Linked DNA regions of Schizosaccharomyces pombe. The protein of the gene in region 2 interacts with the protein of the main gene of each other region in a biochemical or structural test. Each region holds a gene or a part of one and is shown on either strand. Other genes may lie near its edges. The genes, in order: pcn1 and cdc17.

Region 1 (3,691 bases), on a different chromosome or scaffold from region 2:
GCAAACATATTTTCTCGGCTCCTTGAGAAATCAAAGAAAGAACTTTTTTAAACGCTTCAATATCGTAAGAGGAAAGTGCATACCTGTCGACAGAATTGGGATAAAGAAATGAAGTAAGATGGATCAATTTAGAAAAAGTTGAAGGTGCTGATGACTTTAAACGTTCAAGTAATTGCTCACAGAGTTGTGTCTAGTATTAAAGTATTAGAATTAAGAAAAAAATATTTTAATAAAATACCTTTCCAGAAAAAGGACCCCCAGCAATCCCAATGATTGCACTTTTCACACTATCTCCTGCCATAGTATATTCAACGCTAAAAATTTCAAATATAGCCAAATAGTAAAATATATAAATTATTACGAAAAGTTGGCAGTATAGAGAGTAAGGAATTCTATCTTCTTTAAGTAACTTTTACGCCTTGCTGCTACTGGTGGTAGCGTTGGTAGTATTTGGGCGAACTGTCCCTCCGAGGCTCTTACGCGGTTAGCCATATAAGTATACAATTATCAGTTAGAATAAATTCTCAGAATTAAGCTAATTTACATATCAATGTATTATATCATGTACTAGACTTAAATCAACAAGCTACAGCAGATGATTACGAAGTTATCTGTGAAAAATCATCACTAAGAACACAAGTTTTTCTACCCTTCAGTTTGTTGGTTCTAAAGAATTTGATTTTTTTTAAGTAAAAGCTGGTATTTTGCCTGTTTGGATATGAATGTTAGGGAAGGAGCAGTACAAAAAAGGTTGAATTAAAAAGTAAACAAAAGTATGTTTATAATGATGCTAGCTCGTCAATTGCAAAGAGATTACTAAAAGATATTGATTCCGTAATCTACTCCTCATCCTCCTCACCAATTTTTGGGGCAAGATAAAATCGTAAAAATCCGGATTCCATTTTATACTCCACAAGAAGTGGAACATCATTGCTCATTGAAAGTGTGACTCGGGTAGCTAAAGGAGTAGCCTTAGTGAACTGGGCTAAATATTTCAAAGAAAACGTAAGTGTTACAGCTTGGGTAAGAGAAATTTCGATACTTTGATCTTGGTCAGAAAGATCGGTATGTTGTTTCAGCGTGGTACTACCATTACCAATATCTCCCTTGCAGCTAAAACGAACACCCTCTTTACTAGCATTGATTGTTACTGAATCACTCAAAGTTAATAAATCTCGAGTAATGCGTTGAAATTCGGCAGCAGGCATAGTAATAGTAGCATCGTATTCGATATCTGGTATACCCAAGTGTTCTTGATCAATGTCCATTAATTTAACATCATAATCAGAGATCCTGTCATTTTTCTCGCTCTCGAAAACCAAATTCAATACCTCAGGTGTATCTTCAGCCTTTAAAGTAACCAAATCCTCGTTTTGGGCACACCGTAAGACCTTTGATAAGGCGTTCAGATTTATACCTAAAGCAATATTTCTATCACACCGATATGGTTCAAATCCATCTGATTTAATAAGCATAGAAACAAGGGCTACATGAGAACTATCCATAGCCTGCAGAGAGATACCGTTGTCATTGCAATCAAACTGTTATGAGGTTAGAGAATCATTCAAAAGAAGTTAATAAATATATTTTTTTTAAAAAAAAGAAAGGCTTTGTCGTTGAGCATCTTTATTTATATGCTGCCCCTTACATACATTAGCATCTGTAACTAACTCCTTGATGGCATCGAGAAGCTTTTTCAACAAAGCAGCCTGCTGAAATCTAGCTTCAAGCATAGTCGTAATTATATTTTATACAAGCTAGATAAGAGATATAAAGAATAGCTAACAAAGGTTACTGCAAAAACCTTTTGTAGTTGGCTTTTGGGAAGTAGTCAAAGAGCGCGTAGCACAGAATAGTGTGCGTAAAATTGCTAGCTGACAACGTAAAAAATCTCAAGAACCTTTCATATATGAGACCAAAATAGCAGTTCACGTTATTATAATTTGTTTTGTTATTTTTTTTATTTTTACAATAGCAAGTAATTTCGTCCGTACTTTTTAGATGCGTTTGATATGAAATATTATACAAAATTATGGAAAACTAACTGAAAAAATAGTATTTGCATGTTACTATGAAATTTTTATCTTTCGTTTGCTGTACTAATTCACGGTTCTATTTATGTCTTTTTAAAGAAGCAATATTCAGTTATCGAAATTTTCTAGCTATACGGATTATAATAAGCCAAATGTAATCAGCGAGTCATTACAATTTACGGCGTAAACTAGGAGAGCTTTCGCGTTCTACCTTAATATACTTTCCAGGATCAAATAAAATTTAGGCTACACTAATGTATCAAGTAAATTGTACATTTTCCATATTAGCTGCTACCGAAATTTATTAACTTATTTTCACGTTGCAATGACATATAAAATGATTGAAAAAAACGTTATTTTAATTGGTATTAACACGGAAAACTTAAAACGAATTTTATTGCTGGTTTAAATAAGACTAAAGAGGTATGAAAATAAGAATGAAGTATACTTGTTCGCTAAGGAAAAAATATGTATTCACAACAAATTCATTCGTTTTTTTTTCTTCTCAATATTCGTAGATTACAGTTACGTTAACAAGAATTCACTGTTGGTTTGTTTAGTTTATAAACCACTATGGTCAAGTAACTAAAGTTCGTTAAATGTCATTACGACGAATAATCGCTACCGTATAGAATAAGTAATGTAAGAGCTCTATCTTAGAAATAGCTTGGAAATATGACTAGAATCTCTGTAATAGAAGAACTATGTATCAAAAAATTATTTATTCAGTCATTGATGAATTCTAACGGTATTTAGCAAGATGCAATTGAGAATAAGTTGAGGTTAGTATCCGTCTTTACGTTGTTCCATACACTACGTAATACGCAGATCATTTCCGGGTTTCGAGTATTCCATGTTTAAAGACAATTCAAAGACTTTTAAGGTAACTGCATTTTTAATTTACACCGGTTTTTTTTTAAGCTATTTTTCTCTTATTTTTTTAAATCTTCTAGTCATGTCTTTGGGATTTACCCTACTTTATCCCTTTCTTTTTCTAGAGTGTAGGAGTAGGTTCGAGTAACAATGTAACTGGCATCTTCTGGTATGTTCCTTTCCTTCCCATAGTAACATCATCGTGTATATATATGCACAGCTTCTCTACCTGCGGCATCCTCAACCATCAATCTATAACCGAAGAATTTATTATAATAACGATATTAAGTTCTTATTAAATCGAACTGAAAACCGTATATATTTACCGTTCAACGACTCTCTCTTTTTTGTTTTATAACGAGCGACAAATATACAATTCCTTTTTTTTGGATTTATCTATAAATTATAAAAATTCCTATAATAATATAACTCGATATGGCTGATTATCCTTTTACTGACAAAGCCGCAAAGACATTGTCTGATGCGTACTCAATTGCACAATCTTATGGTCATTCACAATTAACCCCTATTCACATTGCTGCTGCTCTTTTGTCCGACAGTGACAGTAACGGTACTACCTTACTGCGCACCATCGTCGACAAAGCTGGTGGTGATGGTCAAAAGTTTGAGCGAAGTGTTACTAGTCGGTTAGTTCGCTTGCCTGCTCAGGATCCACCTCCAGAACAAGTGACTCTGTCACCTGAAAGTGCGAAACTGCTGCGAAATGCTCATGAACTTCAAAAAACACAAAAAGATTCTTACATTGCTCAAGATCATTTTATCGC
Region 2 (5,251 bases):
AGCGGGATCAGTGCAAGAAGCGGGATTTGCATCAAACTGTTTTAATAGTTGAGGAGATGTCTTAGCAATGTATTTGCGAACGCGCTTTTGAATCTTAGCAAGGATGGCATCATGGCCGATAGAATTAAAACCGTAACGATTGATTACAGACAAATCAGGCTTAAGGCGGAAATAGCGTGGTTTAGGATTACCAGGTTGAGGTTTAGGTGTGACCGAGCCAATTTCAAGATAGGAAAACCCGAAGTTCAACAAACCTGAGATAGCATCGGCTTGTTTATCGAAACCAGCAGCTAGACCAATGGGATTGCAAAATTTCTTACCCCAAACTTCAACGGCAAGAGATGGATCATCAGCTACACGATCCTTCGGTGTTATACCCCAAGAGGCAGCGAGAATGGCGACACGATGAGAAAACTCAGGAGTGGTGAAAGCATGAAAGAGAGGCATTTCAATGCGGCCATGGATAAAACTACGAACATCGGACATGTCGTAAATGGCAACGCCGGCAGTAAAACTACCAATAACACTCAAAAGCTTCCAATGACGGAGAAAGAAATTGCCATTTGAAGAGCCAGAGCTGGTAGATTGAAAACGTACAGAGGAGCGCTTTAAACCCTGAGCGACACCGCGAAACAAAGATCGTTGATACATTTTAGTATTTTTAATAGAATTCGGCTTAAATAAAAAATTTTCAAAACGAAATTGAAAAAAATATGAATGATAAAATAATAAAATGAAGTTTTATAATAGTTTATGCTTAATATATTTAAACACCAGTTTTTTTCCAAACACAACAAACCCAAGAAAAAATAAACAGAACCAAAAAATAAAAATATGGATTTAAGGATCAGAACAGAATCGTCAATCCGTTTCTTTATCCACCTAGAGACAAGAAGTGTTAATTTATATAAAATGGAGAACTTGGTTCTAATAAGATTTCAACGAAAACAAAGATTTCAGAACCGAAAAAATTTCTCCAAGTGCTAGCAGAGGTATATTCTCTGAGAAAGAACAAAAATCAAAAATTGAATGTTTATATTGAATGTTACCTGTAACAGGTAACATGTTTTTTTAGTAATGCCGGGCTGTCGAAATTTGACTATGAGTTTTGTAAATAAAGCGATGGTTATAAACAATTTTATGATAGTTTTTGCTTTCGAATTAACATTTCATAAAAAATTTGAAAAAGAAAAATTTTAAAAATTTAAGGACAAAATCCACTTGAAAAACAAGTGCGAACAGCTTTTTGCAAAAAAACTACAAACCACTACACATTAGCGAATAAGCCTATTAGGAATTTATTTTAATTTTTGTTGATTTAAATTTCTTTTTTTTTTAAATGGTTAGAATCTAGTTGATAAACTTCTAGCAATGTATTTCCAAATTGTTTCTATTACGTTCGTTGATACAGGCAATTGTTCATTTCTGGTATGACTAAAGCATTTCTATACAATTCAACTTCTCATTTTTTCTAGCTGTATTTATGATGTACAGAGCGTTGGGAGAGAGTTGATTAAGTCAATAGTATTTATGAATGAGACAAGGAACACTCATACTATATCAATGATAAATAGCTTTTATATTATCCTGTTATAATCATAAAAATTAATTTCATCTATATAGACTTAGAAAAAAATGGTTTCGTTTTCACTGTCCTTAAACTACAAATATCGTACACGTGTTACTTGTTCTTCAGGTGTACCCTCACTATTGTCAAATCTTATGAAATTCTTTACTCGTTGACTTGATTGTTATGCGAACAGTATTTTCGCAAATTCCTCGTTTTAAACAAGTCAATCAGTACATACGGATGTCGACAAGGCAGTCAGACATTAGGTTTGTTAGATAGAAGACAGACGTTGACTAACCCATATAGCAACTTCTTCATTTCTTCTGCTTCGCACAAAAGCGAGCACGTGGAGGTTTCTCAATCGTCTTCTGATTCCAAAAATGTTGATGGGAGAAGCACAAGCGAAAAGAGAAAGGTCGAATCAGTGAAATTAGTCGACGAGTCGAAACACAACAACCACGACGACACTGGAACTCAAAATGTTGAGCGTGAAAATAATATTGTGTCTGAGGCAAAAAAGCAAAAGACTTTAGGTTCATCCTCCTCTTCTTCAGATGCCGTATCTAGTAACAACGATTCTGGGGCATCTACTCCAATACCTTTGCCAATCAAAGAACCACCGTTAGAGTCCAATGCTCGCAATGATAAGTTAAAAGGTCATGCAACATTTGCTGAAATGGTAAAAGCATTCACAAAAATAGAGAATACTAGCAAACGGTTGGAAATCATTGATATAATGGGGACTTACTTTTTTGGAATTCTTCGCGACCATCCCAGCGATTTACTGGCCTGTGTGTATTTAAGTATCAATAAGGTATGAACGTTTGGTTTTAAAGGATTTCTCCTTCTCAGTACTAACGTCTTTTTTTACATTAGTTGGGCCCAGATTACTCGGGACTAGAGCTAGGAATTGGCGAAAGCATTATAATGAAGGCTATTGGAGAGTCTACAGGGCAAACGCTTCAACAGATTAAACTATCGTTTCACAAAGTTGGTGATCTTGGTCTTGTAGCTCAAACATCCCGTCAAAATCAACCCACTATGTTTAAACCTGCAGCGCTGACAATTCCATTTTTATTTGACTCATTAAAAAAAATTGCTCAAATGAGCGGAAACCAATCCCAAAATAGAAAAATTGGAGTGATCAAGCGGCTATTGAGTTCCTGTGAAGGTGCAGAACCTAAATATTTGATTCGAGCTTTGGAAGGCAAGCTACGCCTCCAACTTGCCGAAAAAACCATTTTAGTAGCATTAGCAAATGCCACCGCTCAATATCATGCTGATAAGAATGGAGAAAAACTTTCGCAACAAGACAGGATTGAAGGAGAGCAGATTCTTCGAGATGTTTACTGTCAACTGCCTTCATACGACCTTATCGTTCCTCACTTGATTGAGCATGGACTTGGTACTTTGCGTGAAACTTGTAAATTAACACCTGGAATCCCAACAAAACCCATGCTGGCTAAGCCGACGAAACAAATTTCAGAAGTTTTGAATACGTTTGATCAAGCCGCATTTACATGTGAATACAAATACGATGGCGAGCGCGCCCAAGTTCATTTTACCGAAGATGGGAAGTTTTATGTATTTTCTAGGAATTCTGAAAACATGTCTGTTCGCTATCCGGACATCTCTGTTTCTGTATCGAAGTGGAAAAAACCAGATGCTCGTTCTTTTATTCTCGATTGCGAAGCTGTCGGTTGGGACCGTGATGAAAACAAAATTTTACCTTTTCAAAAACTTGCAACAAGAAAGAGGAAAGATGTGAAAATTGGGGACATTAAGGTCCGAGCATGCCTTTTCGCTTTTGACATTTTATACCTAAATGGGCAACCTCTTTTGGAAACCCCACTCAACGAGCGTCGAAAACTACTTTACTCAATGTTTCAACCAAGTACTGGAGACTTTACTTTTGCTAAACATAGCGATCAAAAGTCTATTGAATCCATTGAAGAATTCCTTGAAGAATCTGTCAAAGATTCTTGTGAGGGTTTAATGGTCAAAATGCTTGAAGGCCCGGATTCTCATTATGAACCGTCAAAACGTTCCAGGCATTGGCTAAAAGTTAAAAAAGACTATCTTTCTGGTGTTGGAGATTCTCTGGATTTGATTGTAATTGGCGCATACTACGGAAAGGGTAAACGTACTTCTGTTTATGGTGCCTTTCTTTTGGGCTGCTACGATCCAGATACCGAAACAGTTCAATCGATTTGCAAACTCGGGACTGGTTTTTCAGAGGAGCATTTAGAAACTTTTTACAATCAACTTAAAGACATTGTTATATCTAAAAAGAAAGATTTTTATGCTCATAGCGATGTACCTGCGCATCAGCCTGACGTCTGGTTTGAGCCTAAGTACTTGTGGGAAGTCTTAGCTGCCGATTTATCTTTGTCTCCGGTTTACAAAGCTGCAATTGGATATGTTCAAGAGGACAAAGGAATCAGTTTACGTTTTCCAAGATTCATTCGTATTCGGGAAGACAAGAGCTGGGAGGATGCTACAACAAGTGAACAGGTTTCAGAATTCTATCGTTCGCAGGTGGCTTACAGTCAAAAGGAAAAAGAAGGGTCCCCAGCTGCCGAAGATTATTAAGTTTGTAGCTGAGAGTTACTGCTGAGAGCTACTGTCATAATAAAGGGTAATGTTCGGCTAAAATTTGCCCAAAGAGGCTAATATGAATTATGTTAAAGAGACAGACAAATTGAGTTTATGCTCTAGCTGATGGCTATTTCTCTAGCTTACTACTATTTATTTTTTTCTAATTGTAATCCCCTGTGGCTAAAAAAAAATTAATAATAAACAACATTGAATTTCCAAATTATAACATTAGATTGAAAATTTGAATCTTATTTATCCCTTTTTATTATCCTTTTTATATGATTTTATACATTGTATTACCATTTTACGTTCGTACCAAGCCTTACTCTATTTTGCCGTCATATTCCTCCTTACAGTGGATTACGAATGCTTGGTGTTCATTACCGTCCATATACATTTTATGTCACTGTAGCAAACACCAAGAAGAAATTACAATATTGGCTTTAAAGCCATTAATTGCTATGAATAATTCAGAAGAATGGCCATTGAAACATGTGCAACCGCCCAAATTGTCATTTCGTCATTTGCTATCGAGATCTGTGACAGATGCTCCTTCATTGCGGGTACGTTGGTTCTATGCGGTAGATAGACCGCTTAGGAAATCAAGAACGGGACCGACGGAAATTAAAAAAGCAAAAAATTTTTTACCTTTTTCAGCTGAAGACTCGGAGCACATCGAAAAAAGTTATTTAAAGGCTGTAGAAAATGACGGTCAATCTGAACCGGTCAATGTGAATGAGGATTATTTGTATTCGGTGAACGTTGTTTCAAGAGAACTCTCACCAATATACTGGGATGGTCCCGTTTACCGGATACTCAGGGGAACGTGGTTTTTTAGTCGTGGGGATAAACTGTACCCTTGTGAGGAAAATCTAGCGACACAAGTGGAAGAAGGTTATTTAAACAGTTGTCCCTATCGAGAATTTTCGAATGAAAAAGACTCTGCTGCTGCACAATCAAAAACATGGGCCCTCCTTGGAAGGTATACAGGTGGATTCGTACAATACACTGGCAGCAGGAATGCCCGACTGGTGTATGATGACTTTTATCGTAACGTTTCTGTGAAAATTATGAATCGGTTTT

Evidence for each region.
Region 1: the proteins of cdc17 (region 2) and pcn1 form a complex in vitro, tested with the Schizosaccharomyces pombe proteins (one study listed by BioGRID).

Annotation. Positions count from the first base shown.
Region 1 is NC_003423.3:3,614,727-3,618,417, reverse strand, and holds pcn1 (DNA polymerase delta processivity factor), read right to left. Parts: upstream 1,824-3,691; 5' UTR 1,734-1,823; coding exon 1,653-1,733; intron 1,544-1,652; exon of another isoform or gene 1,542-1,543; coding exon 840-1,541; 3' UTR 573-839; downstream 1-572. Other genes in the region: heat shock protein Hsp104, read left to right, coding at 3,342-3,691.
Region 2 is NC_003424.3:1,386,191-1,391,441, forward strand, and holds cdc17 (ATP-dependent DNA replication ligase Cdc17), read left to right. Parts: upstream 1-1,694; 5' UTR 1,695-1,753; coding exon 1,754-1,836; exon of another isoform or gene 1,837-1,876; coding exon 1,877-2,384; exon of another isoform or gene 2,385-2,446; coding exon 2,447-4,162; 3' UTR 4,163-4,427; downstream 4,428-5,251. Other genes in the region: mitochondrial dihydroorotate dehydrogenase Ura3, read right to left, coding at 1-651; SPOM_SPAC20G8.02 (DDHD family phospholipase), read left to right, coding at 4,447-5,251. UniProt on the Schizosaccharomyces pombe protein: DNA ligase that seals nicks in double-stranded DNA during DNA replication, DNA recombination and DNA repair.